Linked DNA regions of Pelodiscus sinensis. The protein of the gene in region 3 interacts with the protein of the main gene of each other region in a pairwise test. Links are inferred from orthologs where the notes say so. Each region holds a gene or a part of one and is shown on either strand. Other genes may lie near its edges. The genes, in order: BMAL1, PER2, CRY1 and PER1.

Region 1 (7,677 bases), on a different chromosome or scaffold from region 3:
GGTGCCCCAGAGAGGGGGACCGAAGACAATGATCAAGCGATTTGTCTCCTGCCATCTCTCTCCAGCCTCTGACAAACAGAGGCCAAGGACACCATTTTATCCCCTGGCTAATAGCCTTTTATGGACCTAACCTCCATGAAATTATCTAGCTTCTCTTTAAACTCTATTATAGTCCTAGCCTTCACAGCCTCCTCTGGCAAGGAGTTCCACAGGTTGACTACACGCTGTGTGAAGAAGAACTTTCTTTTATTAGTTTTAAACCTGCTACCCATTAATTTCATTTGGTGTCCTTTAGTTCTTCTATTTAGGGAACTAATAAATAACTTTTCTTTATCAGCCCTCTCCACACCACTCATGATTTTATAGACCTCTATCATATCCCCCCTCAGTCTCCTCTTTTCTAAACTGAAAAGTCTCAGTCGCTTTAACCTCTTCTCCTATGGGACCCGTTCCAAACCCCTAATCATTTTAGATGCCCTTTTCTGAACCCTTTCCAAGGCCAATATATCTTTTTTGAGGTGAGGAGACCACATCTGTACACAGTATTCAAGATGTGGGTGTACCATAGTTTTATACAGGGGCAGTAAGATATTCTGGGTCTTATTTTCTATCCCTTTCCTAATAATTCCTAGCATCCTATTTGCCTTTTTGACCGCCGCTGCACACTGCGTCGAAGTTTTCAGAGAACTGTCCACGATAACTCCAAGATCTCTTTACTGATTTGTCGTAGCCAAATTAGCCCACATCATACTGTATGTATAGTTGGGGTTATTTTTCCCGATGTGCATTACTTTACACTTATCCACATTAAATTTCATTTGCCATTTTGTTGCCCAATCACTCAGTTTGGTGAGATCTTCTTGGAGTCCCTCATAGTCTGCTTCTGTCTTGACTATCCTAAACAGTTTGGTATCATCTGCAAACTTTACTACCTCACTGCTTACCCCTTTCTCCAGATCATTTATGAATAAGTTGAAAAGGATTGGTCCCAGGACTGACCCTTGGGGGACACCACTAGTTACCCCTCTCCAATCTGAAAATTTATCATTTATTCCTACCCTTTGTTTCCTGTCTTTTAACCAGTTCTCAATCCAAGAAAGGACCGTTCCTCTTATCCCATGGCCATGTAATTTACACAAGAGCCTTTGGTGAGGGACCTTGTCAAAGGCTTTCCGAAAATCCAAGTATACTATATCTACTGGATCCCCCTTATCCGCATATTTGTTAACCCCTTCAAAGAACTCTAATAGATTAGTAAGACAGGATTTCCCTTTACAGAAACCATGTTGACTTTTGTCCAACAAATTATGTTCTTCTACATGCTTCACAATTTTATTCTTTACTATTGTTTCGACTAATTTGCCCGGTACTGAAGTTAGACTTACCGGTCTGTAATTGCCAGAATCGCCTCTGGAGCCCTTTTTAAATATTGGTGTCACATTGGCTACCTTCCAGTCATTAGGTACAGAAGCTGATTTAAAGGATAGGTTACAAACCACAGATAATAGTTCAGCAATTTCCCATTTGAGTTCTTTTAGATCCCTTGGATGAATGCCATCTGGTCCCGGAGATTTGTTAACATTAAGTTTTTCTATTTGTTCCAAAACCTCCTCTAATGACACTTCAATCCAGGACAGTTCCTCAGATTCATCACCCACAAAGGACGGTGCAGATTCGGGAATCTCCCCAACGTCCTCAGCCATGAAGACTGAAGCAAAGAAATCATTTAGTTTCTCCGCAATGGCTTTATTGTCCTTGATTGCTCCTTTTATAGCTCGATCATCTAGGGGACCCACAGGTTTTTTAGCAGGCTTCCTGCTTCTAATGTACTTAAAAAACATTTTGTTATTTCTTTTTGAGTTTTTGGCTAGTTGTTCCTCAAAATCTTTTTTTGCTTTTCTTATTACATTTTTATACTTGATTTGACAGTGTTTATGTTCCTTTCTATTTATCTCACTAAGATTGGACTTCCACTTCTTAAAAGATACCTTTTTGTCCCTCACTGCTTCTTTTACATGGTGGTTAAGCCACGGTGACACTTTTTTAGGTTTCTTGCTATGTTTTTTAATTTGGGGTATACATTTAAGTTGGGCCTCTATTATTGTGTCTAAAAAGTTTCCATGCAGCTTTCAGGGATTTGGCTCTAGTCACTGTGCCTTTTAATTTCTGTTTAACTAACCTCCTCATTTTTATGTAATTCCCCTTTTTGAAATTAAATGCCAGGGTGCTGGACTGCTGAGGTGTTCTTCCCACCACAGGAATGTTGAATGTTATTATATTATGGTCACTATTCCCAAGTGGTCCTGTAACGGTTATTTCCTGGACCTGATCCTGCACTCCACTCAGGACTAAATCGAGAATTGCCTCTCCCCTTGTGGGTTCCTGCACTAGCTGCTCCAAGAAGCAGTCACTTAAGCCATTGAGAAATTTTATCTCCGCTTCTCTTCCTGAGGTGACATGTATCCAGTCAATATGGGGGTAATTAAAATCCCCCATTATTATAGAGTTCTCTATTTTGGTGTTTAAGACATGGTGTTCCATGGTCTTAAAAAGTTTAAGAAACACTGATCTAGCAGCACCTTAAAGACTAACAAAAGGGGATATAGATGTTATCAAGAGTTTTTGTGGGTGCAACTCACTTCATCTGATACCATCATGAAACCATCTGCATGTTTTTTTAGTCTTTAAGATGCTGTTAGACTATTAGTTGTTTTTAAAGTTTTATAAGTAGAAATTTGCAACAAATTTTGTGCCTACCATAACTATTTTTCAAGATAACAATTTTTCAAGATGCAATCAGTAAGATTGGCAATTGGACAGGGAGATTTTGAGACAATGGGATGTGATAATTACAGGTTCACATAATGATAATACAATGCAGTGTTTGGGTATGGCAAAATAAATGAACGCAACAACATTGTGACTGCAGTGGCACAAAACATACCCATTGTGTACTAGTACTGAGATATTCATGTTTCTTCCTACCCACTTCTTAGCATGTTTAAATTTAGCTTGTAAACTGGGACAATGTGTCTTTACTATGCTTTGTGAGGTGACTAGTACACTTTAAGATTTGTAGAATAATATTGCATTTAGACACATCAATTTTTGACACTGTGCAAGCACATTGTGAAATGATACCATTGATATTCAGTAGCAAAGCCATTCCCTTGTGCTGCAGTGTCATCAATGTGCTTGTGACATCACCACCTTGTGCTTCTATGTCATCTTCTGCTCTGCTGTGCTGGAATGTGGCGTAGGCAGGACAGAGGTGTTTGGGTTTCGTCATTCAGAAAGTTGGAAACCTTAGCCTTGTCTCATGGTGCTACATCATCCCTGTCGTGTCACGACATCACTTCCACGGCAACATCATTGCCTTGAGCCAGGATGTAGCTACCGTGTCATCACACGAGATCCTGGAAATCTGTTTGTCAGGAAAAAAACACCTGGAGTCTGCATTTTTATAGAGCATCTTTAGTTTTTACATCTGTGAAAAATAAAAACAGAAACATGTACAGTGGAACCCTGATTATCTAATTGGTATTAGGGCATGATTGTGGATAATCAGAATAGATAGATCTTGTTTATCAGCCCTACGTGGTAGGGCTTCAGCTTCAGCCCAGGGCAACAGCCCTGAAATCATCCCCGGTGCCAACTCTGCCCTTATATCTATACAAACAAATTCATCACTGGACCCAACCACTTTAGGTACCACATCAGAGGCTCATTTAATTGTTTCAGACCAATTCCACAAGCCAAATACACAGAAAAGGATTGGAACTTAAATTCATTTACAAGTTTAATTTTTATGCTAATGGTCTGAACCCACACTATTTTCCACCTTTTAATGACATAAACCAACTAAACAACGGAGGTGCTAATGGTTCATAATAGCCTCCTGTAACTTTAACAATCTCTCTTTTTATTCCTGTCCTCCCCTTCCCTTCGCTCCTCCCCCCCCCCCCCCCCGCCCCGCTTCCCTTATTTATTCTTGGATCTGGACTTATTATACTCCAGTCATCTGAAGAGGTGGGCTGTGCCCACAAAAGCTCATGATCCCATCTACATGTTTTGCTAGTCTTTAAAGTGCTACCAGACTATTTGTTGGTTTTTAAGTTTTTCCTAAATAAGCTAGTTTTATGACATTAGAAAAATGACTGGTCTGATGTCCGCTAAAATGTAAGGCAGTGACCCTGCTCTACAAGGGATAGGTTCCACCTCTGTAAACCGGAATTCTCTGATCTGGGAACATTTGCGATAGGGCAGGACCATGGATGCTCCAGGGTCAGAGAGTCCCGGCTGCTGTGGTGAGTGGGGGGGCCAGGATTCTGGTGCGTGGGGGGGAGCCCAGCTGGGCTGCGGGAGAGTGCAGGCAAGGGGGGGGGTCAGGGTGGAAGGAAGGGGGGAGCCAGCCCAGAAGCGACCTCCCTGGTCGGGAACACGGCTCAGCTGGGAGCAGGGAGGCCCCGCTGCAGCGACGCTGGGGGGCGACAGGGCGCTAACACACGGTTAAGCGGTTCACTCATGACACGGGATTTTGCATCCCTGGTCCAGTGACGTCATGGCACTGACAGGCAGGCTGACGTCACGGTGACGACACTGCAGCCTGTGACGCTATTGTGGCGAACTGCCCCACCGGAAGAATTGCCCGCCGAGCGCGCCCCGCTCTTCCAGGGGGTGGGGCCGCCACAGAGCGCTCCGGCAGCGGCACATCCGGGTCCCGCCCGCCAGCAAGCCTTACGCAATCGCTGACCCCGCCCTGTTATCGCACACGCCTCCCTCCAGCCCCCAGTTAGACCTTCATGGGGGGGCGGGAGGAAAACTGAAAAGTTCTGATTTGATTGGCTGCCTCTCCTCTGGCAGGCGCCGATTGGTCGAAGTTCTGAGGGGCAGCTCCGGGAGGCCCTCTTGCAAGCCATTGGACGACGACCTTTCAGAGCAGCTCGCTCATTGGCGGATAGGGACGTTAGCGCTCGGGCCGGGGGGAGCAACCATTGGCTGGAAAGTAGGTTAGTGGTGCGACGTTCGGTGGCAAGCCAGGCGGAAAGTAGGTCAGGGACGGGGGCTGCCTGCACTGCTCATTGCCCTCAGCGCGCCGCAGAGGGGCACCGACCCCCTCCCCGTACGGTGAGGAGAGACGGGCTGGGTCTGCTGCGGCCCGGGCGGGGGGCTCTGTTGGGGGGAGGGGCTGCCGCCAGGCATCGCGCGGGGGCGACCAGGGACTCCTGGCTGGGGGGGATTCCTTCCTGGGGCTCGTGAGAGGCTGGGGCCGGGCAGCCCGCGGGAGCAGCGGGGGGATTGTTTGTGGGCATCCCACATAGATAATCCTTACAAGTGTGTGTGCGCGCCTACATTAGCGGTTCCCTAGGACCCAGGCTTTGCACGGATCTCAGCGTGGGCATAGTATCCCCTCGCGCCTGCTTGTGGCTGACACACGCTGACTGGTTTGACTTGAGGTTTGTCTTTGTTAAATAGTCCCTCTTATATAATACATTATAAATAAACTCTTATAGGAATATTATATAGGAACACAAAGAAATAGTAAGAAGCCAAACAGAATGAAATGGGTTCAATAATACACAGGAAGAAAAGCGACAAGTCGATTCCATTGATTAGTTTACATGGTGGAAGATGTCATGCATCAGTTGTTAGTGCATTGGTTAAAATAAATTGCTTGACTTGTAAATCTGAGGTAATTGTAATGATTGTTTCGGGAGGAAAATATACAGTGCTGGAACAAAGTGTGGGTCAGTCCCCTCATGTGCTCTCCAAAGTATGAGCGTTCCCAGCCTCCCCATAAGCAGTATTTAAATAGACCTTGTTATTTGGGAGTGGAATTGTTATATGTTAATTTTAGGAAGAGTCCGATTTAAAGGAAGTGAAACAACCTGTCTTAGCAAGACTGAGAAGGGATACTAAAATATTGAGTTTGACAGATGTCACTTTCAAAACTAGCTTATTTTTAAATTTAATATTTAAAAAAAAATTTCATGCCTCTTACATTAACTCTTTCAGTAAAGGCAGATGAAGAAAACAGGAAAAAGTGTAGTAGGCCAGTGTATCTTGCTATTAGATCATATTTAAAGTAGTTTGGAGTCTTTGCAGTTCTCTCTTTTTTTTATCTAAGCCACCCTTGAGCCTATTATCCCACAGTTAGCTGCCTCCACTAACTATCAGAAATTTTGCACCTGTGTGAAGAGTTTGCTCATGTGAGGAATGGGACAGTTTGATGAATACAAAATGTATGTAGTGAATACAAATATTTATAGTAGCACTCAGTGGCCTAATAAAGATCCTATTGTGTTAGAATAGTGGTTTTCAAAGTTTTTTTTTTTTTTCATGATTAGATCCTTAACTTTTTTCAAACAGAGGTGTGAATTCCTCTGAAATCTTAACTATAGTCTGCAGACTCTGGTTTATCATTGAACAGACCACTGTTCTAAAGAAAACCACTGTGTTAGAAAGTAAGAGACTGTCCCTCCCTCCCCTCATGATCTAAATGAGCTGCTGAGCACTGCATATTTTTTCACTTAGTTGTTGGTTGGTTGTTTTCAGTGCTTGGTTTTTTTTTTATTAAAAATGTTTTACTTCTGATTAGTTGTTTGAAAGTTGTCATGTTTAGCACTGTTGCTGCTTAGAATGTTCATTGGTAGCTGTTATTTATATCCAGATTGAGGAAAATAATATAATGCGTTTTAATGAAATGTGCTTATGTATGGAGAACAATTACTGTGGCTTCACAATACAGTGATTTTGATTTTTAACTTGTTTATAATTGGTGAACCAAATGTGTGTAAAAGGCCCCATTTGAGAACAGTAGATATTTATTTCTTTGAATACCTCCATTTTCTAAATTATTCATATTTCAGAAAAAACTGTTTCCCCAACTTTCAGTATGTCATGTAGATGAAGGATACATGAACAAGAATCAGAATTTAGAAATCCACTTTGATTTAACTAGCACTGATGTACCACTCATAATATCTCTGCATTCCTTCCTTTTCTGTCTTCAGCATCTGAGGAAGTGAGTTGTATTTCACAAAAGCTTATTCCCTAATAAATTTGTTAGTCTTAAAGTGCCACAGTACTCATTTTGTTTTTGCTCGAATTTAGAGCGGGGTGGGCAATAATTTCTGATGGGGGGGCACTCCAAGAATTTGAACAGTGGTCAAGGGCTGCACTCTTCCATATTAATGGAGGAGGTGTGGGGTCTGGGATGGAGGTTGGGTGCAGAAGGGAACTTACAGTAAGGGACTGGGGTGCAGGAGAGAGTGGGAGGTCTGGGAGGGAGTTTGGGTGAAGTTGTCAATGGTGACCTGGGTTAGGGGGACTAGGGTTCAGGGTTTTGAGGTGTGACCTGGGGAAGGGGACTAGGTTGCAGTCTTTTGGGTTCTGACCTGGGGCAAGGGATTGAGATACGGAATCTGGGAGGGGACATGGGTGCAGAAGGAGGGGGCAGACATTTTGAGTTTATGTGGGGTGGGGAGGGGGGCAAAAGGAGTTGGGGTGCCAGAGGCAGGCTCTGGCTGGGAGACTTATTTGCTTGACTCCCAGCCAGCAGCCTTCCCAAGCAGACTCCCTCCCTGCCCTGTCCTACGCTGGCTGCAGGGCCATGTGATTTTTGAACAGCTAGGAGCCTGGGGGGAGGCGGGAAGGGTGCTTCCCAAGCTGCCTCTT
Region 2 (7,558 bases), on a different chromosome or scaffold from region 3:
CTCCGTATATATCCAAAAGCTACATATGCTGCTATTCTTCTCCAGGCTCAGCACACTGGTTGAAAAGGCAGTTCACTCTTCTCTATCCCGTCCCCACTGGCTATTCTTTTTTGCTCTACCAACAGCAATGCAGAGGTGTATCTGGCAGTTCTACTAGCAGGACTGAGAGCTTCTGCAGCACTTTTTTCAAATTCATGGAGATAAGCAGGCTCAGGGTGTGATGGGTGGGGAAGGAAGCTCGGAAGAAGATTACTGCAGCTTTCATCATGATCTGCCCTCACTCTCACAGGTTGCTATGTTACAAAGGCTGGGAGGAACAAGTCCTTCCTGACTCCAGTAGCCACAGAGCTGATCAGGCAGGGGGCTGCTGCCCCATGCACATTCAAGTTTGCCCAGCTTTAGATGTTTCAGTGCTTCACTGCAAGAGCAACTGAGCTAAAGGACACACCTGGGATCTTTCCCAGTTGTCAAGAAACAAACACGAGGGCTACATCTACACTGGCCCCTTTTCCGGAAGGGGCATGTAAATTTCACGAGTCGTCGTAGGGAAATAAGTAGGAATAAGAGCCTCCGGAAAAGGGCACTTTTTCCGGAGGATCGGGGCCAGTCTAGACGCTCTTTTCCGGCTTTTTTAAAAGCCGGAAAAAAGCGGCGGACATTTTTATTTAAATGCCGCGGGGGATATTTAAATCCCCCGCGGATTTCCCTACGACGACTCGTGAAATTTACATGCCCCTTCCGGAAAAGGGGCCAGTGTAGACGTAGCCGAGGTATCACTCCACAACCACTGCTTAAATTATACTCATAACTTTCCCATTTTTCCCAGGTCTCCAAATCTGGGGGAATGGCAATACCCCAGAGAGGCCATCTATTTTTCCCTTTATTCTACTTGTCTGAGAGAGTCTTTCTTTTGTCTCTAACAGGCTTTGGGTCAGTTTACCAAGTAAGGCTCATACGGAGTATTACAGACAAATGGTCCCTCAGTAGGTGGCAATGGCACTTAATTCTTAATTCTGGGGCTTTTCCCCTGAAAAACCTTTTAAGGAGCTATTGTTCTTTTACATGTGCAGATACAAATAAATGCTGCCCTAAGCAGTCAGCCATTTTACAGCTGTGTGTCTGCTGATCTGTATGTCCCCTTTCTCTTCCAACATCTCCTCTTTACTTACTCTTTTAATACAACCAATTAGGTCATCATAAAATGGGATTTTCAGGTCTCTCCTCCATGTCCTATTCCCTTTCTATTTCGGTCTTCTCTCCTGAGCCTCCGGTCTCTCGCTCGGTCTCTCGCTCTCTCTCCCCTCCTCCTACTGCCTCCCCCACCCTCTCTCTTAGCTCTTCTCCGTCTCCCGCCTCTCTCTCCATCTCTCTTTCTCTTCACCCCCTCCTGCCTCTCACTCTCTTTCTCTTCTTCTCCTCCTCCTGAATGGGGAGCGCGGAGCCCAAGTGACTGTTTGTACCACTTGCTCCTGTGCGGCAGCCCAGCTGAGCGGCTGCCTATGAGCTCCAGCTGTCCCCATGCACCGTTTCCCTTCACCCCAGCATTGATCCTACAGCCTCCCAGTTGTCCTCCACCTCTCCTTCCCCCTCGTTCTCCCACCTTCCCCCCGGCCAGGGTCTATTCATGGCCAGGGGGTGGGGCCTGAAGCCACACGTCATGCTGCACGTCACCGCCCGCCCCCCTTTGCCTCCCGCAGTGGCGCTCGGCTGACTTCTGTGCTGCTCAGCCGGGCCACTGCGGGGGAGCAAGCAGCACAAGCAGCCATTTGGGCCCCGCGCTCCCCATGCAGCATGGACCCCAAACAGCCACTTGCGCCACTTGCTTCTGTGCAGCAGCCTGGCTGAGCGGCACAGAAGTTAGCTGAACACCATGGCAGGAAGCAACAGTGCCGCCCAGAGGGAACAGCCAGTGTTTCAGCATTAGAGTCACAGACATTGGGCTACTATATATGGGTATGTCTACACTAGCCCCCTAGTTCGAACTAGGGAGGCTAATGCAGGCATTCAAAGTTGCAAATCAAGCCCGGGATTTAAATACCCCACACTTGATTTGCATGTTCCCGACCAGTTGCCATTTTTGAAATTACAAGCCCAGACTAACTGCCTGCGTCTACACGCGGCAGGGAAACGGGCGTTCGAAATAAAGCCCTAAATCGAACTACCTGTTAAACCTCATTGCGGGAGGCAGTTAGTCCAGGCTTGTAAATTTAAAAAATGGCGACCAGCTGGGAACATGCAAATCAAGCGCAGAATATTTAAATCCCGGGCTTGATTTGCAATTTCAAATGCCTACATTAGTATCTCTAGTTCAAACCAGGTGGCTAGCGTAGACATATCCAAAATGATTTCTGAAGGTGGCAGAGGCTATGTTTAGACTATGGAGTTTTATTGGGAAAAGATATGCAAATTACACTCTGCAATTTGCGTACCTTTTTCTGATAGTTTTGTCAGAAGAGGCTTTTCAGAAATTTGGCCCATCTACACTGGGCCAAATTTTGGAAAACCCTACTCTTTCAGAAGAGTGCCGAGTGCTGTGGTATCCCAAATGAGAGTAACCAAAGCAGAGAGAGAGGAAAATGCTTTGCTGTCCCTCAGCGAGGTAGGCAAGCAAGCAGGAAAGCTGAGACCTGGCTGTCCAGGAGGGTCCCTTTAAGAACCAGCCTCAGATAGCCTCAGACAGCAGCCACACAAAGCAATTACTGACCTGATGCCCTGCTGGAACTGGTTTCAGCTGCCCTTAAATGCGATCCAGCGTCCAATCAGTGTGGACACACTATTTCAAAATAGCAAAATGCTATTTTGAAATACAGTTTGTGTCTAGATGCATTATTTTGAAGTAGCTTAATTCGAATTAACTATTTAATTTAAGTTAATTTGAAATAGCGCTGTTGTGTAGACATACCCAGGCTGACTAGAAGCAAAGAGGTAAAACTCTATTGGGATTAGGGCGTGTGTATCAAGCCAGATCCCTTGAATTCAGTGGAATTGTATTGATTCCCACAGCTGAGAATCTGGTCTTCATGCTTTTACCTGGCCCTCTTCCTGCAGTCTTTTCCTAGAAAATGTTTTTCTTTCAATGTGTCTTGTGGGAAAGTGTCCTTTAGATGGCACCAAACACTTGCACTGTGGAAATCCAACAGAAATTTATGGTTACTACGGGGCCATTTCAGTTCATTCACTTGTAATCTGTGTTTTTACTGACTTCAGTGAGGCCAGGATTTTATACATAGGTCCTAATTCTGCTTCCAATGGAAGGTAATGGGACTTCTGCTTTTTACTTCAATTGGAGCAGGTCTGGCCCCATTATCTTTTGTCTTCTCTTGTGCATAAATACAAGGTGCATCTTATAATTCATCCAGTCTCTGCTAGAGAATTTAACAGTTTTCACTATGTAAAAGGTAACAAATGGTCTGGTAGCACTTTAAAGACTAATAAAACATGTAGATGGTATCATAAGCTTTCGTGGGCACATCACATTTCTTTAGATGACCAGAGTTTTGAGTTTAGGATGTGCAGACCCAAACTAAATAGGAGAGAAGGGGGGGGGGGGGGAGGAGAAAAGTGGTGAGAAACAAGGAGCAAAGGGTATGAAAAATCAAAGGGAAAAACAGGATGGCAGAGCTGGGAATCAGTAAGCACCTGAAGATTGAGTAGTTAAAACAAAGCAGATAAGAATCAAAGTCAATAGATAGTACACTTCCTAACTCAGGAATCTACGCAAAGAGCTGTTTGCACCTTCATTGAAGGTTAGGTTGATAGTGTCCTATTTATTTTGGGTCTGCACATCCTAAACTCAAAATGCTGGTCATCTGAAGAAGTGGGCTGTGCCCACGAAAGTTCATGATACCATCTACATGTTTTGTTAGTCTATAAAGAGCTACCAGACCATTTGTTGTTTTTTCCATTACAGACTAACTCAGCTACTCCCTAAAACTATGTAAAAAGTGTGTTTGACTAATTTTTCTTTGCTAATTATTACTCTTCTGGACAGATTAAAATTAGATTAAGGACAACTGACATAGTCTGCAGTGTAATTTATAAGGAATTGCAGGCCAGTCTCATATTTATTGCTGGCATAAGTGGGCAAAACCCTATTGACTTCAACAGATGCTGCACCTTTATAAGACACTGATGAATTTGGATCAGGATTTCTGTTTGGGCACTTTAACCAATTACCGTAAAATCACGAGTATAATGCGCACCCTACCTTTTCAACATCAGAATCATGGAAAAAAGTGAACTCCTATATATTATGCGCACCCGCATTATACTTGCAATTTTATGGTATATATAGGAAGGAAGGGGCCGCTCCCATCTGCAGGCTCGCCCGGGAAACACACGCGCAGCATTGGGGAGCCAGCTGCAGAGTTTGAAACCTGCTCCCCACCCAGCTGCCTGTACTCCATGCTGAGCTCGTGCCTGTCACGGGGCCCCTTGGCCCCCCCCCTCCCCTCCGCTCCCAGCTGTCCTTGCCGAGACCGGGCAGGCAGTGAGCCAGGGCGCTCCTTGCCTTGTCTGGGAGCCTGGCTGAGCTTGCGCCTGCCGCAGGGGCCCTCTGCCCAGCTGAGCTCGTGCCTTTCCAGCTGAGCTCGCGTCTGCTTCGGGGGCTCCCTGACCAGCTGCCCATGCACCGTGCCGAGACCGGGCAGGCAGCAAGCCAGGGCACTGCAGTCTGGCGGCACCACTGGTTCCTCGCCTTGTCCGGGAGCCTGGCAGGGCACCGCGCTGCAGCTGGAAAGTTTCTGTGCAGAGGGGAGGGTGAGTTAAAAACTTTAATGCTACGTCTAGACTGGCATGATTTTCTGGAAATGCTTTTCTGGAAAAGTTTTCCATTAAAGCATTTTCGGAAAAGCGCATCTAGATTGGCAGGATGCTTTTCTGCAAAGCGTCCGTGGCCAATCTAGACGCGCTTTTCCGCAAAAAAGCCCCAATCGCCATTTTCGCGATTGGGGCTTTTTTGCGGAAAATAAATCTCTGCTGTCTACACTGGCCCTTTTGTGCAAAAGTTTTTCAGAAAAAGACTTTTGCCCGAACGGGAGCAGTGTAGTATTTCTGCAAAAGCAGTGACAATCTTACATGAGTCAGTGCTTTTGCAGAAATTCAAGCGTCCAGTGTAGACAGTTGGCAAGTTTTTCCACAAAAGCAGATGATTTTGTGGAAAAACTGGCCAGTCTAGACACAGCCTAACAGAAAATCTCCTATGTAGCATGCGTACCCTAGCTTTGACCCTAAAAAATGGGGGGGAAAATGCACATTTTCCTTGAGATTTTACGGTAATGCTTAAAATCAAAGTAAATATATTTCAATTTGCATGCAAAAATTGAATTACTCTGCTTCTCCCAGGACTTTCTGTATGTCTCTTCTGATCTATGATGTTTGAGCATCAAGGCCATAGTGAAATTAACAATGACTGGAGTTTTTCTGTGTAAAATGTCCTTCCGTCCTCCAATACCAAACAGGATTTCACACTATGGTTAGGGGATCATCTTGCATGAGTAGGAGCTGATAAATTGTGGTAACTTCTATTATAAATTCTTATCAAGCCAACTTCTATAGTTATAATAGAGTTTCCCTATTGTAAGTTATCAACTGCAAAAACAAAAGCTTAGACTTGTGTCCCTAACCAGCACTCAGAATTAGCTTGCACATATTGCAAATGTGCTAGTGTCTGCTAGCCAGCCTGTTTCCTCTAACAATAGTGAAGGAGCTAATGGGGTTAAAGCACCAGTGCATGTTTCTCTAAAAAAACTTCATGGAAAGAACTAGTGTACATTTTAACATCACAGTATTGTATAGTCTGTAAAGACACTTGAGCTCAGCATGATTATGTTCACCTGACTGTCTACCTAGGACTCCCAGGATAAGTTTAAGTAGCCCTGTAACAGAGGAATTGTCTATGTAACAGCAAGCTGTAATTTTTTTCCTTCACCTCCTAAAAGAGCATTTCCTGTGAATACAGACTTTCCATGTATGAAGTGTGCTAACCGAGGATTATCTTTTCTGGTGGTGGACATCATGCGAGTGAATGTAGACAAGGTTCTAGAAAGAGACCAAAAACTTTCAGAGCTTGACAACCGGGCAGATGCATTACAAGCTGGTGCCTCACAGTTTGAAACCAGTGCAGCCAAACTGAAGAGAAAATACTGGTGGAAAAATTGCAAGGTAAAGAGGATAGATATCTCTTGTTTAAATCTGCCTCATAGAGTATTTACTTTCACTTTGCTCTAATGAGCCCTTGTAAGAGTAGGTTGGCTTTTAACAACCTTTTTTCTTAATGCTGAAAAGTAAGCTATTGTACTCTTTAAGGTAGTCTTCGAAAGCAATCGTGACGTTGAATAGAGATAGACATAAACCTACTCTATAGCTCAGAGAACCTCAGATCTTTGTGCTGTTTGAAATGAGAGAACAATTCAAACAACTTCTTCTGTGGAGAAAATTGCTTAATTTAAAAATCTAAATATGATAGTGTGATATGTAAAATGATGAAATGGACACAGTATGCAAAACCTCCAGCCCTAGCTCAACAAAAATAAACTTGCAAGTATGCACAAAACCAGTTCCAACATAGCATATATATAGAGTGGGGTGGAAGAGCCTTTCTCCTCTTGTGGGGATTGATGAATCTCTTTCTCCTTCATGAAGGTAAGCTGCTGATGAGGAAGCCATTGGGCTCAGGTACTCTTCAGGCTGGCACAGGAAGTGAAGGATGAAGAGAGTTTTCATGAGGGAAAAGCAAAGATTGAAATTCACCAAAATTTTGCCCTAGTCCTCAACATACTCATCCTTTCCCTTGAACATGGAACACCCTTCTTTCCTTCCTGTCCTAAAACCATCTACTTCTCCAGTCCAGTATTATCCTTTCCAGCCTCACTTCTCAGCCCTCCTTCTGTCTGTCCCCATGCCAATCAGTCATCCATATGCCTCTCCAGAACAAGCCCCAACTCAGTTGCCTGGATTCATTGCCCTATCCCCTAAAAACCTGTGGTGCTGCTCCCTGGTAAATCACCTCCTTCCTAAGAAAGACCAGCTGTCTCGAGGGCTGGCTCCTGACCCCCTAGGCCCTTCCTGATCCCTCTGAAAAGAGAATAAAGTAAGCTTCCAGACCTCAGGAGCCAGAGGAGGGGTAGATGGAGAAGAGAAAGGGCCAGTACCAGTTGTTGGTTCTTCCTTGCTGTCACACATGTGCACGACAGGACATTAAGGCCCCTCTTGATTTTCACAAAGGGTGTACTTTTCAGTCATACTAGCTAATCGAGGGTATGTCTACACCACAGCACTAATTCGAACTAACTTAATTCAAATTAGTTAATTCGAACTAGTGCATCTAGACCTAAAAACTAGTTCGAATTAGCATTTTGCTAATTCAAACTAGCACGTCCACATTGAGTGGACCCTGAACCGAGGTTAAGGCTGGCCGGAAGCAGTGCCGGCAGGGCATCAGATGAGGACTTAGAGCGTGCAGCTGCTGTCTCAGGCTAGCCGAGTCTGTGCCTAAAGGGACCCGACCCCCACCCCGGACAGACAGTTCTCAGGGGTTCCCCGCTTGCGAAGCAGTCCT
Region 3 (7,046 bases):
TATGCTATAACTCATACTGATGAATCTTCTTCCTTAATTAGAGTGCTAAGCACTACCACATCTTTCTCTCTGAGAATCACTTATATTCATATTTTCCCATTTGATACAAGTATTGTTGCCATTTTTAAATATAAATGTTCCAATTTAGGGCACTGAGGCATGTTTGGATTTAATAAAATTCCCAGACTTGAAAGTGGAATTAAGATTTTAAATAAAGTAACTTCCTTTATTTAAAAAATTAGAATGTAATTATTAAATAAACAAACATTTGAAAGGTATGCTACTTAAAAGTTCCAAAAAATAAAATCTTACCTAAATATAGCTTACAGCTCCTAGTCCACTTCACCTAACATATTAGCTTAAGGCCAATATCTCTCTCAGTCTCCCAAACTGAACAAAATCTCACGTCCTGATTTCCTTCTATGGCCAAGAAACCTCAATATATCACATTTTATGTAGATGTGGGTAAATGCTGATTTTAAATTGAGTTGGGATATTACTAGAGGCCCAAAAACTGTGACAAAAAATAATGAGATCATGAGAAAAGGTTGTTTAGTGAATTTGTTACCATTGAACTTTTGGTGTTATCTTATTTAAGTAGTCCTGTGGCACCTTAGAGACTAACAAAAATATAGAGCATCAAGAGCTTTCATCAATAAGACCCACTTCACCAGATGAAAATATGTCCAGAGCTTGTACAAAGAAGATGGTTATCAATTGTTCTCCAGGCCCACTGATGACAGGACAAGAAATTATCTGCTTAATTTACAGAGAAGGAGATAGGTTAACAGAAAGAAAACTATTTCAGGGCTTAATTACCCTTTTAGGTTAAGCGAAGATGTGGAACCACCATCCTTTGTCAGGAATGGTCTAGGCTAGGTGTACTTGGCCCTGTCCCAGTGTACGTGGATGGACTAAGTGACCTCTCAAACTCCCTTTCAGTACTATATTTCTATGATTCACTGAATGTACAACGAGACATGAACAAAACTCCTGGTATTCCTTTCTCTAACACTTATTTTATATCTATCTCTGTGCTTTTACTAGGAGAGACCAGTTTCTGACTCAGTAAGACAGGGTGATAGAGTGCCTCAAAGGGCAGGTAGGCAAGTTCAGCCGTATGGTCGGCCCACCAGATTACAGCCTTAAGGGGATATGTGTCCCAACCCAGCAGTCCTTTCTTAGTTGCGTTTGGAACTGTGCACATAATACAATCTGATTCAAGATTTTCAAACAGCTACAAAAACTTTCTTAGGTTTTGTGGGGTTTTTAAATTTATTATTTTGAACATGCTTAGCTGTATCTCCGGATTATCTGGGACTTGTATTAATTCTACCTGTATCTCTATTATAAACAAGATAAACATTTTAACCTACTACATTCAAAAAGGCCTCCCTATTGTGAAAGTGGGTCAATAGAATACTGCCTTAAATGCAACTTACAAAGCTCATCTTATAGAGGATACTTTTAAAAAAGTGACCTATTTCAATTCATGAATTATCTTCATCTGTGGTTAGAATTTTATTCAGTTTAAGGTCTCCTTTATAACAACGATGGCTGAGATTTGAGGGGAAAATGTAGTGCCTAGCCTTATACTGCTCTTAAACATACTGGCTACATCTAGACTGCTTCCTCTTGTGCAAGAAAATATGCAAATGAGGTGAAGCAATGAATATTGCCATGTCTCATTTGCATACTTAATGAGCTACCTTTTTGCACAAGGGGCTTTTGCGCAAGAGCCATTCTGCCGCTTTTTTTCAGGCAGAACAGCTCTTGTGCAAGAGGCAGCTTTTGCGCAAGAGTTGTATAGATGGCTCCTTTATGCGCAAAAGCCCATTGCGCAAATATGGTGGCTCATTAAGTATGCAAATGAGGCGCAGCGATATTCACTGCTTCACCTCATTTTCATATTTTCTTGCACAAAAGAGCGCAGTATAGACGTAGCCGAAAGCTCTTGAGAACGAAACAGCCAAAGTATAGAAAGTAATTACAAGAGTACATAGAAATATATATAAAAGCAAATTTGATAAGTGTCTTGGGGTTAGGGAAAATTGTGTTAAAGGTGCATTTAAAGGAACATGGTTTTGTGTTCATAGTTATGCTTTAGTATTAGAGCTGATCATAGCATTTACTTTACCTTTGCTGGGTTTTTAATCTTTCAGTGAATCATTTACTGAGTAATGAACCTGAGTTGGCTTAGGCTGGGCCTATGTCAATCTAAATTTTAAGCAATGTTGCTCAAAGGTGAGAAAAATGTGCACATAATGTTATCGTTATGCTGAATTAATTCCTAGTGTAGTTCTGGCTAGATTAAGGGAAGATATTCAGCTGCAGCACAGCCATGCCCTAGTTTTACCTAGACTTCTAATCATTTCATTTCACTGTCACACAGGGCTAGCACATAACCAAGGGATGGATTATAAACTGGCTGAAGGAAAGGTGATTTATTTTTCTAAAGTGACCACACATCCTGTTTTAGCTGGAACTTTAAAAATTATTATGAAGTTCTGACCCTGCCCTCCCAACTTTTTTTTGGCAAAAGTGAGCACTTGTCCCCTTTGCTCTTGCCAATTTAATCCAAGGGGTGGGGTGTGGAAGAGGAAGAGGCAAAGCAGAAGTAAGCCCTGTGCAGGGAGCAGACAGGGGTGGAAAGAAGGGTTTTTAAACCAGCTCTGTGAGCAGTGGGCACTCAGGCTATGTCTACACTGTTGGGTTCTTGCACAAGAACATCTTGTGCAAGGGTTTTTTTGTGCAAGAGCATCCATGGCAGCGTGGACGCTCTCTTGCACAAGAAAGTTCTGATGGCGATTTTAGCCATAGGGCTTTCTTACGCAAGAAATCCCTGCCGCTCGTCCACACTGCCCTCTTGCGCAAGAGCTCTTGTGCAAGAGGCCTTACATGTGTTAGAAAAGAGCATAGCTCTTGCACAAGTTGCCCTGTCTTCCGAGGCCGTACTATAAATCTTGCACAAGGGCAGGGAGGCAGTGTGGACATTCTGCGGGTTCTTGCGCAAAAACCCACTAGTGTAGACAGCCTCAGGGAGCCACCTCTTCCCTCCCCCCATTAGAGGCGACAGTGGGTGGGGCACAGGCTGGGGCAGCCCATGGCTATAGGCGACTCAGCCGCCGCCTGGGGCGCCGCCACGCGGTGTGCCCAAGGATGATGTCATGGGGGCACCTGCCCATGACATCAGGCCATTGACGGCCCTACCAACAGGGGCACCGATCACGTATGCCCGCTGGGGCGCCAGCTGCTGCAGCTGGTCTCTGGCTGCTCCTGGGCACAGGCAGGAGCCAGTGCACATGGGGAGCTGGCTTTTCTGCACTGCTGTCTCTGATACAGATTTTCAGCAGTTATATAATTTCACCTAAACACATTTTAACATCCCTAAGCCTCGCCCTGTGCTGAGGCACCGCCCCAAGGGGGGTTGCAATAAGACAGTCCTGCAAGAACTTTTAAGTTACTTTCACCCCTAAGGGTGAGCTAGCATAAGGGGCAGGGAGGGCAGAGGAAGGACACCGAGGAGTTGCTCTCCTGAGCCATCAGCACAGCTCTGCACGAGCCTGACTGCCCTGGGGTGGGGCTCCCGCCTCTCCGGCCCGGGGCCCGCACTGCCTGGGGCTGGCAGCGCCCCGACACGCAGAGGCGGGCCCGGGCAGGTGCGCAGAGCGGTGGGGGCGCTGCGGCTTTAACGGCACTTCGCGCAGCTTCGTTATGCAAGCGCCAGCCCGTGTCCCTGCCGGCTCCTCCCGCCCCCGCAGCCGCCCAGCGCCCCTCCCGCGCGCCCGCCACGTGAGCCTCCGGCAGCCGGGCCAACGCGCGCCCGTGACACGCCTGCTGACGAACGTCCCTCTGACGTACGCAGGATTCTCTGCATAACTGCCCGTTTACGGCCTGCCGTGCGCAGGGGAGCATGCGCACTAAGAGGCGCGCCCGGAGCCTCCTCGCCGCCCCGTGCTCATCCGGGCTTCTCCCGGAGCAGGCGGGGCTCGCAGTGACGGAGGTGCCGTCCCCTTCCCCCCCCGCAGTTGGGCTCCCGAGCCGCGCAGGCAGGCGGGTGTGTCCAGCGGAACGGGATCGGTGGTCGACCTCTAGCGCAGCGGTTGCGCTCGGTTCTGTCCTCGAGGCCCCAGCCCGCGCGCCCCGCGGCCCCTCCCGGCCGGCTTACTAAACACACTTCGGGAACGTGAGGGCGGCGAGTCAGGTGGGGCGGCGGCAGCCAATAAGAAGGCGGGAGGCGGGGCTTAACGACTGTCGGCTTCGGAGTCCGGCACCGAGTCACAGGGCGAGCGGCGAGGAAGCCACGGGCTCGTGGCAAGAGGCGGCCCGCGCGCGCGCGGGGGATTTCGGAAGGGGAGGGGATGTGCCCCCCTGAGGCGGCCGGCCCCGCTGTCGCCTCCGCGGGGTCCTAAAGCCAACGGACGATCGCCGAGCGGAGGCAGCGACCCCGGCAGCAGCTTCGCGTCTCAGTGTCGCCACGGCGGGGGCGGCGTCCGCCCCGCTCTAGGGCTGCCCCGCAGAGACCCACCCGGGTCCGGCATGAGCCGCGGCGGCTCTTCCTGAATCCCCCCTCCCTCCCACCGCTCCGGACGGGACCGCGCCCGGGCCATGGGGGTGAACGCGGTGCACTGGTTCCGCAAGGGGCTGCGGCTGCACGACAACCCGGCGCTGCGGGAGTGCATCCAGGGCGCCGACAGCGTCCGCTGCGTCTACATCCTCGACCCCTGGTTCGCCGGCTCCTCCAACGTGGGCATCAACAGGTGGCGGTGAGTGAGCGGGCCCGGTCGGCCGCGCGTTATCGCCGGGTTACGTATGCGCCCCTCCCGCTCCCCGCCCGCTCCCCGCCCGCCGCTCTCATTGGCCTTGCCTGACCCAGCAGCGGTGCCAGTCTCCGCCACGGGCCCGCTGCCCCGCATCCAAAGCACAGGGCCGAACGGCCTCCGACGAAAGAAAATGTGACCCTGCCCCCCAAATAAGGGAGTTCTCCCACGGGGGCCGCTCACTCTAGTCCCCTGGTTTTTAATCCGCTGTGTTGTATAACCATGACTCAAGGAGAGCTAATGACTAGTGGCTGCAGCCCCTCGGATTTCCATTAGGGGAGCATTGCTAGTAGCAGTGGCTGGAAACTTTAGGGAAAGATACTAGTGTATGCAAGTCAAAAGAGCTTAGCTTCAAAATCATAGAAATGTGGGTCTGGAAGGGCCCTCAAGAGCTCTTATAGTTCAGCCCTATGGCATGGCAGGACCAAGTAAACCTAAATCCCGGGTTGATATTTGTGCAACCTGTTCTTAAAAAAACTCTCCAGTAATGTGGGTTTTTATAGTCTACTTTGGAAGCTTATTCCAGAGTGTAACTATCCTTGTTGAAAGAAAGATTTTCTTAGTGTGTAACCTTAATTTCCCTTGATGAAGATAAAATTGTCTTGTTTTCAGAGCACAAAGAACAGTTGATTATCTTTTTTTATATAACAGCCTTCAAATAGGGTTAGGGCTATCCGGTCCTCATCAGTCTTTCTCCCTCTCTTCTCTCCCCTCCTCCCCCCCCTTAAGACTAAATATGAACTGATTTTTGATAGGTAGGAATAGGCCACCCTTACTTTTGTGTTGCTCCTGATGGGGTGCTGCTCTCAGATGCTAGACACCCAAGCAACAACTGTTGCTTTCTGACAGCTCAGCTCTGCACTCAGTGCAGAAGTAAGGATGACAATACCATAATCCACTAAAATAATATTGTGACTCTTCCCTCCTCCCCTGCAACTCCCTTTTGAGTCAGAGCCCTCCAATTTGAAAAACATTGATCTCTCCAGTGGAATCTGTATAGTATAAGGTAAAAGCACGCAAAGATCAGATTTCCTGGACTGTGAAATCTGATTTGCTTCCATGATCCATTTTTCATATCTGTGAATTTGATAGGGCCCCTAGATATTAGGAAAGAAAAGGTTTAGAAAACCTTTTGTTCTGTGCTCTTTCCAGTTTGTTCATAAATTTGACTCCCAGACCTGGATGCAGTGCTTCAGCTGAGACCTCATTAGGTGCTGAGTAGATTAGGCCAGTTACCTCCCCTAAATATCTGAGCTATGATTATTTTATGACCAAAAATGCACCACTACCAGGTGCTGAATTCATGAAAGGTCTTTTTAATATTTTTGGCACATGGCTTAACAGATCTAAATGTAAATTCTCTGGAAAAAATCCTGTCAATCCTGAACAGTATAAGTGGTGATGTTTTTAAGGAAGATGCAAGTTTAACCAACTTCATACTTGAAATGTAAAATCCTGTAAATCAGATTTAACCAGTTAATTGATGAAGTGGGTTGTCCCTGCTGGCCCCCCTATAGGTGGGGTTTGCAGCTGACACTGCCATCCCCCTCTCTCTAGTGAGCAGGAGCTAGCAGTTATCTGCAGGGGGAGGGGGACAGATTCTGCCCCAGCCCACACTGGTTAACCAGAACTGGTGAGAGACTTAACAGTTAACTGTTCACATCCCTACCAAAAATAGTGTACAGGTTGAAACTTCCTGGTCCAGCACCCTCGAGACTGGAGTGGTCCCAAACAAGGAAATTTGCTGGATATGTGGAAGTCAGGTGTTTGGGCTCTCCTGGGGTTCCCCTCCTGCCTGCTGTCCCTTGAGAACCCAGAGGCTCGGGGGCAGCCCATGATTACGTCACAGCCATTGACAACCGTGCAGGTGGGGGCGCCGATCACGCCTTCTTCCTGGGGTACCAGCTGCCGCAGCTGGCCTCAGGCTGCTCCTGCAGAGGCTTGACTGCCTCTGACCCACCTGCCTGGCTCTGCTGTCATCATTCTGCTCCAGAAGCTCTCTCCTGTAGTTCCCTGGCCCTGCACAGGGCCGTAGCTGCTCCCAGGGCTCCCTGCTGCCAGGTGATTGGCCCTGCAGGCTGCAGCTAACCAAACCAGCTCCACTCCCAGATGCTCTCAACCTTTGCAGCCAGCACTCTCTAGTCTAGCAACATCCGTGGTCTGGCAGGACCACAGGTGTTGTCAGACCAGAGAGTCCAGATGAGAGAGGTTTAACCTGTAGTGGAT
Region 4 (7,530 bases), on a different chromosome or scaffold from region 3:
CCGAAAACCCACTCCCGTACCACAGTCCAGCAACTGTGACTCACCTCTGGCAGACGAGCCATCCAGGCCAGGCTCAGCAGGACCGGAGAACAGCTGGGAAGCAGTCCAAGGAGTTTGCACGTGGCAAAACACGGCACCACACCCCCTGCTCTTGCTTACGCACCCCCACCCCTGTGCCAACAAACCCTGGCCACTGCAATAACCTCTGTCCTACTGTATTTTTTATTCTCACAATCTGGCAGGCTGAGAAGCACACCTGGGCTAGTGCGGGATTGCAACATTTACAGTAACCCTGGCATGCTCGCTCTTTCCAAAACAACCCATGACATGCAGAAAGCTCGCTGGCAACTGGCATCCTTTTGCACTAACAAGACACTGGGCTGCGTACGGTCCTGGAGGACAGCCGACATCCCGTTCAAATTGGGCGCAGGGTAGCCACTGCTCTGGAGTCTCAGCACACATGCAAGATTCAGAGTCCCCAAATGCGGAGCAGAATTTCACCAGCTTTGTGTAAACCCTTGGGCCAGCGCCAGGTGATCGGGGCCTCCTGGAAGGGGGAGGGAAGGAGATGCGGTTACCTTCATCCTGAGCCTTGTGAAACTGGGAATTTAGGATATATCTTTTTTTAGGAACAGAACCAATGGCGTTTAATTCCGGACTGGCGAACAGCGAAGCTCCCAGGAAGAAACCTTGATCCTCTTGACTGCCTGGGCCACGGATGTTCTCAGCTGTAATCTGTATGCTGCCAGCCCGTCGTCGGCTAAGCTGGCTTTTTTAGGCTGTACATCTTGTGTCGCCACCCCTCCCCCCCATGTGTACGAGGCAGATCTGTGGAGCACACACAGCCTCCCAGCTGTGCTTTTGGGGCTCCTCCCTTTTGGGCCCAAGAGGGATCAGGGGGCAGAATATCGGCCCAGCTATTTCCGTACAAAGCTGGAAATGTCCCAAAAACAGAAGGGGCATTTTCCTGGACCAGTAAGAGGCAAGTTCAATCTTAGCCAGGAATATGGGACCTGCTGCTCTGGATCCCCCCAGAGCTGAGTCACCCCAAAAGACTGGGAGTCAGGACTCCTGGGTTCTCTCTCCAGCTCTGGAAGAGGTGTGGGGACCGGTAAATTAGAGGAAGGGGATTAGGAGCCAGGGCACCCAGGGCCCTGGCTCAGCTCTGCCATTGTGTGGTCCTGCGTCACTAACCCAACCAGCTCATGCACACAAGGCAACAGCTGCAGAGCAAGTACAGAGGAGAAAAAGGACACAAAAGGGTCACGGCCCAAACCCTCCCAGGACCCCATCACACAAACAGCTCCTCCTCCCGCAACACATCAGTCTCCCGGAACTGGGGCTTCAGGCCATTCAGCCGAGCAGCATGGGGGTGGGGGGAGGAAATCACACAATGACTCAGTCCCACTCACAAGCTGGCCCTTTTTCCAAGCCCCAATTATATAAGCCACTCGGGCCATTATGAAAGGGGCCCACACATACTCAGCAGCCCCAGCTGATGCCACAGGGTCCAGACAACACAGCCAGAGGGGGGTTTCTCTCCTGTCTCCCCCCTCCTCCAAGCACAGCATGGAGCTATCCAGGCACAGCTGGCTGAGATTCAACCAGCCCTGGAATGGAGCATTTGATTGTATGGCAACATGCGGAAATTGGGGGGAGAGGGGGTTGGGGCACACTGGCACCCTGCACAGTGCCGCTGACTCCCCCCACCCAGAAGAATCCACTCCTCCTGGGCTCAGACCCCATCCTGCCTGTGAGCCCCCCAAAACCTCCCCACAGTACCAATGCAACCTCACCAGCTTGTCCACCTAGCCACTTATCACCCACCTCCCTGCAGAGCGTGCAGCTCCTAGTGACCCTTAACCCCACCCCCATTCCTAATGTCAGGTCAGGAAAATTTGGGGGGGAACATATGCCCCCTCCCACATATCCCCAAATCCACTCCCCTGCAGATGCCCACCCTGGATCCAGTCCCCCCAATTCATTTGCCTTGCAGGACCCCCAGCCCCATGGGAACCCCTAGCTATCCCCCACAGAAATGCTCAGACCACCCCCTGGCTTCCCAGACACTCCCCATCTCACAGACACCCTCCATAGCCATTCCCCTGAAAGATATCCCAAAGCTCTCTGCCCTACAGGGCCCCTTGAATGTCAGCCCCTCCCCCAAGGGTCTCCCTCCAGGCTAACCCTTCCTTCCCAGCTACTTTATCTTCCAATGGATCCCCAAGCACGTCTCCCCATAGCTTTCCTCATCTGCTCAGAGCATGGAACCTCCTCAGCTCCTATGAAATCCTCCCACTCTAGAGATTTCCCCATATCCCTTTGCACTCCCATGCCTCTCTGCCTGATATGATCCCCAGTTCCCTAGGATCCAGTTCCTGTGCCTTACCAGCCCTACAACCCACAGCCTATGGGACACTCAGCCTCCATGAATCCCCCCAGCCCTAAGGGACCCAGACCCTCTGCGACCCCTATGTACACCCTCAGCCCACCATGAACCCATTCATACAGCCCCCATGGACTCATCCCCCCAACATCCTCAGCCCTCTGAGACCTCCAACCCCCCCAATGACCCAGCCCTATGGGAATCCCCAACTCCCACGAACACTCTCAGCCCCCACAGATCCAACCCTACCTAGCTACCAACCCGCACAAACCCCGCCTTCAACCCTCCACCCTACAGGGCCCCCAGCCCCACAGACACAGCTCCCCAGTGCTACGAGACCCCAGTTCTACAAGACTCCCAGCCCCTCTGCCCCACGGAACTGCCCCCCAGAGACCCAGCCCCGCCCCTCTACCCTCCAGCCCCACGGGTCCTGCTCCCCCGAGCCTCCTGCTCTGCTTCCCCCCAGGCTGCACGGATCCCCTGCAACCGCCCAGCCCCACGCGCCCCCCGGAGCCTGCCCCACTCACCGCAGCGCCGCGCCCCGTCTGCCTCTGTTTGCGCAGCCCCATGCCCGGACCCACCCCCTCCACCGGACCCGCCCCCTCCGCCACCCATTGGCCGCTCGGCGGCTGCTATTGGCCAGCCGGCTCTCGGGCATGCAGGCGGCCGCGTGAGGCCACGAGGCCCCGCCCCCGGGAGGTGTGGTCCGGCCGGGCATGCAGGCCCGCGCGTGACCCGGCCCCGCCCTCGGTGGCACCCCATTGGTTCGCGCCTCGCCTGGCCCCGCCCAGCCGATCGCCCATTGGTCGGCGCCGCGCCGCAGCAGCAGCTGGGGGAACACGTGCGGGCTCGGCGCACGGGGCTAGCGGCGAGCGGGGGTGGGGGCAGGGATCCGGAAGTACGGGTTCCATGCTTGGCTCGGAGGGGGAGGGGTCCGGATACCTGGGTTCTATCTCCGGCCTTGGCGGGGGGCGGGGAGCCCGGGGCCTCTGGGAGGGAAGGGGGAACGCGGAGCCGGACCCCTGGGTCCCGTTTCTGGCTGGGAGCCCGGATGCCGTGTCGGCCTCTGGGCGGGGGTCTGGGACCCATTTCTCAGCTCCAGCCAGCCCCACGCTAACCGCTTGGAACAGGTGGGGAAACTGAGGCAGGGGACTGCTATGACGTCACTGGCAGAGCCCAGGGGCCTCCCTCCGCCCCTGTAGAGCCAGGCTAAAACCCAGGAGTCCTAGCGCCCAGCCCCTTGCTCTAACCACTAGCCCCTCTCCCGTCCCAGAGGAGAGGAGAGAACCCAGGACCGTCCTGTCCTCTATCCACTAGCTCCCATTAGCACTGCCCGGGAAAGCATATCTGAGTCAGTCCTCAGGCACGAGGCGGATGAAGCGCCCGGCAGCCCCGCCCTATGGCTCATGGGGCTGCGTTCCGGAACCAGAGGTCCCAGATCTGGGGCAGGCCCCGCTCCTCCTCCCAGGATCCATGCTCTGCTCAGTGACTGGGGAGAGTTGGGGCGGAGCCTGGGCGGCTAGGCTAGGAGAGAATGCCTTGTTCCCGTCACTGGGACATCTATTAATAGTCAGAGCTGAGAGAGCCCCGGGCTCCGGCTCTGCGGCACTGAGCTGCATCTGGCTGTGGCAGATCGAGGGAGCCTATGCCAGGGCTCTCTCCAACCCCCTGACCTAGTCTCTCTGGCGGAGATTTAACCTTGTGTCCAGTCCTGGCCCTTCTAACCACTAGACTGCACTTCCCTCTCTCAGCAGTTGGAACCTGGGGGACTTGGTGCAGAATGCAGCATGTGAGATGCCAAAATGGCGGGGGAGGAATTCAGCTAGTGTGATGTAGAAATCGCAAGGATTGGGTGCAGGATCCAGCATGCAAGCCATGGAAATGGGAAGGATTTGGTGCAGGATCCAGAGGATGAGATGTAGAAATTGGGAGGACTTGGTGCAGGATTCTGTAGGCATCTGTATTCCCCATAAGCTGGGTTCTTGTGTAGCCACTAAGGAGAGATTCCAGTGGTACCCAGCTGATTTGCAGAGCACTTTGTGTTTCTACTGGTGGTGCACATTCACACATGCCTCGGTGCAAGTAAAAAAATGTATTCTGCACATGGATGGAAAAAAACCACTGGGCCAGAAATTGGAAGGATTTGGTGCAGAAACCAGTGGACAAGACATAGAAATCTTGAGGATTTGGTGCAGAGTGTAGCCTCTGATACGCAAATCCCCATCGTTCATGAAGAAGATTGGAACAATATTCTAGATGACTTTGAAGATTGGAAGAGCAGAAATAGGATGAAACTCCATAGTCCAAAACACAAAGTCATGCGCGTATAGTCAAGAATTTCTGTGGTAAGCCAGGGGCTTGTCCACTGGAAGCAATGAAGAAGGAAAGTGCTCAAAGTGAGTCGGTTGACTGCAGGCTGAGCTGGAGCCACTGATGTGATGGGATAGAGAAAAAGGCTAATGTGAGCTAGGATGTATCAGGAGAGGCATTGCTGGCAGAGCTAGATATGGGCTGGTGGAGGAGGTATTGGTAAAAACTCATCTAGGACATTGCATCCAATTTGGCTCACCTATGGTGAGGAAAGATGAATTCAGACCGGAACCAGGTGCAGAGAAGAGCTGCTAGAATGATCATGGGAACAAAGGACCTGCCCTAAGAGATGAGATATGAAGAGCTGTCTTGTCTTGCCTGACAAAAAGAGAGCTAACTGGAGGGGGCAGGACGGGAATGGATTTATTTATAAATACATCAGGTGGATTTGGCGCAGGACCCAGCAGACATGAGTCCAAAATTGGGGACAGTTGGCGCAGGACTCGGTAGGCATGATGCTGAAATCAGGGGCATTTGGTGCAGGACCTGGCAGGCGTGATGCTGAAATCGGGGGCATTTGGTGTAGGACTCAGCAGGTGTGATGCCAAAATCAGGGGCATTTGGCACAGAACCCAGCAGGTGTGATGCCAAATTTGGGAGCATTTGGTGCAGGATCCGGCAGATGTGTTGCCAAAATCAAGCAGATTTGGCACAGGATTGGATGTACGTGATGCTGAAATCAGAGGGAACTGGTGAAGGATCCAGCGTGTGTGACCCTGAAATCAAGGGAATTTGGTGTTGGAGCCAGTGTGCTTGATTTTGGCATCCTACAGATTTAGAGCAGGATTTGGTGTGTGAGATGCCAAAATCAAGGAGAATTGGTGCAGGACCGGGTGCACATAACACTGAGATTTAGCACAGGATTCAGCGTGCAAGATGCTGAGATTGTAGGAAAATTGGCATCAAATCCAGCATGTATGACACTGAAATTGGAGGGAATTGTTAAAAGGTCCAGCAGACATGATGCTGAAATCAAGGGGGTTTGGCGTGTGATTCATTGTGCATGTCACCAAGAAGGGCAAAGACTGACTGAAGCTAGATGACAACATTGCCCAGGACAAGTTCAGGCTGGGCATTAGAAACATTTTAAACCATCTTCTGAGATGGCCTCCCTCTGAGAATTGCTGGGGGGGGGAGCATAATTAGTTGTAAGAGGCAGACAAGTGGATGAGGGCCATTGTAAGGTGGGGAGTGGAGCTTGGCAGTCCTAAGGCGAAGGAGAACACATAACAGTTTCTCTTATTTTCTGAAAATCTCAGGCTTCAGGGCCTTGCACTTTCACCTGCAGGGATCAGGAAGGAATTTCTCCCTCTCTCCCAGATGATTGTTTTTCTTTCCTTCTGGAGCATCAGAGCTAAGCCAGAGTTGGGCCAGAGAGCTGAGTTGGCACCAAGCATTTTTTCTCTTTGATGCTTGGCTGGCTCAACTATGTCACTGTCTTTGGGGTTAGGAAGGAATTTTCCTATGATTAAATCGGCAGGGACTGTGATGGGCTAAAATCATAGACTACCCCGCAGTGGTCCCCCGCGGAATGATCTGGGCCGGGCCCTGCCCCGGGCATGTGGCCCTGCCCCTGGACGTGCGGCGCATGTGCGGCCCCGCCCCCGGACGCCCAGCATGTGCACCTGGATGCTCGGCAGCCCTGAAAGGTTGGGGACCACTGCCTTAGGGCTATCCCCGGGTGTGCTAACCACGGCATGAACGACCACCTTTCTTTCCTCTGGGGCTCCCCACCACTCTGTCCTGCTGGGCCAGATCCTCTGGTCTCCCAAGACACAGAGTAGGGATTACTGCCCCCCTGAAGAGTAACGCAGACACTGAACCAGGTTAACTCTGGGAGGGCTAAGCACCCAGGAAAACAACCCCAAAGGGGACCTAACCCCCAAATAAATCCTCCTTACTCCATGTAAAAGTTGTACACAGAGAAAGCTTGTATGGTCAGCCCCCTTTACCAATGGAAGAAAGAGGGGCACAGTGGTTGTCCCCTCCCCCTCCATTTCCCCGTAACAATTATTTATGCTGGGCTTGACAATAAACAAAAATGTTTCTATTAAATATAAATATAGGATTTAAGTGGTTGCAAGTGAAAACAGACCGATCAAAGTAAATTACTGAATTAAAATAAACAATGCTTAGCTAGTACTAATTCACTAAGCAAACTGTTACATATAAATTCTTACCCTAAATAGTTGTTCTTATCTCAGGTAAAGAGAGAGTCAGAGTTGATCTTTACTCTGATTTGAGTTTACAGCTACTTCAAAGTTCTTTGTATTTTCTTAGTGTGCACCAGGCAGTTAAATAAACTTTTCCTTCCTGGGAACCCTTTGTTCCCCACTCCCTAAGGAAAAATACCAGGTTCAAGATGGATTCCGGGAGGAGGAGGGGGAGATAGTCACATGTCTTTCAAAGACCAACCACAGTTGGAGCTTATAGGACAAACATGCCCATTCACAAGTCATCAGTTTGAGTATTGAGTCATTAAGCACTGCAGCACCAGTAATGGCTCTTATTAGTGTATTTAGAATTATAAACAGATCCACACTTCGTATTTCTAACTTCACATACAAGAATGACACATGCATAAGAATAGGATACACAGATTCATTGTAACTGTACAATTTATGTTACGTGACCTGTTTTGCATAAAGTATGAAATTATGCATATCCATAAGCCAATTTTCATAAGGCATGGGGGAGGGGGCTTATGGGAGCGAAGTTGGTTTTTTTCCCACCTTACTCTGCAGTAGGGGGCGGGTCTTTTCCAAGGATCCATC

Evidence for each region.
Region 1: the proteins of CRY1 (region 3) and BMAL1 interact in a two-hybrid assay, tested with the Homo sapiens proteins (3 studies listed by BioGRID, with this or other methods). The link is inferred for Pelodiscus sinensis from reciprocal best matches to the Homo sapiens genes CRY1 and BMAL1.
Region 2: the proteins of CRY1 (region 3) and PER2 interact in a two-hybrid assay, tested with the Homo sapiens proteins (5 studies listed by BioGRID, with this or other methods). The link is inferred for Pelodiscus sinensis from reciprocal best matches to the Homo sapiens genes CRY1 and PER2.
Region 4: the proteins of CRY1 (region 3) and PER1 interact in binary tests that used the Homo sapiens proteins (3 or more experiments, as listed by UniProt). The link is inferred for Pelodiscus sinensis from reciprocal best matches to the Homo sapiens genes CRY1 and PER1.

The regions. Positions count from the first base shown.
Region 1 is NC_134714.1:101,481,163-101,488,839, reverse strand, and holds the start of BMAL1 (basic helix-loop-helix ARNT-like protein 1), read left to right. Parts: upstream 1-4,663; 5' UTR 4,664-5,009; exon of another isoform or gene 5,010-5,127; intron 5,128-5,330; exon of another isoform or gene 5,331-5,456; intron 5,457-7,677. UniProt on the Homo sapiens protein: Transcriptional activator which forms a core component of the circadian clock.
Region 2 is NC_134720.1:10,340,767-10,348,324, reverse strand, and holds the start of PER2 (period circadian protein homolog 2), read left to right. Parts: upstream 1-4,549; 5' UTR 4,550-4,758; intron 4,759-5,959; 5' UTR 5,960-6,162; intron 6,163-7,558. UniProt on the Homo sapiens protein: Transcriptional repressor which forms a core component of the circadian clock.
Region 3 is NC_134711.1:96,455,416-96,462,461, reverse strand, and holds the start of CRY1 (cryptochrome-1), read left to right. Parts: upstream 1-4,046; 5' UTR 4,047-4,608; coding exon 4,609-4,766; intron 4,767-7,046. Other genes in the region: MTERF2 (transcription termination factor 2, mitochondrial), read right to left, coding at 3,862-3,877.
Region 4 is NC_134734.1:10,861,764-10,869,293, reverse strand, and holds the start of PER1 (period circadian protein homolog 1), read right to left. Parts: upstream 3,007-7,530; 5' UTR 2,914-3,006; intron 564-2,913; exon of another isoform or gene 45-563; intron 1-44. UniProt on the Homo sapiens protein: Transcriptional repressor which forms a core component of the circadian clock.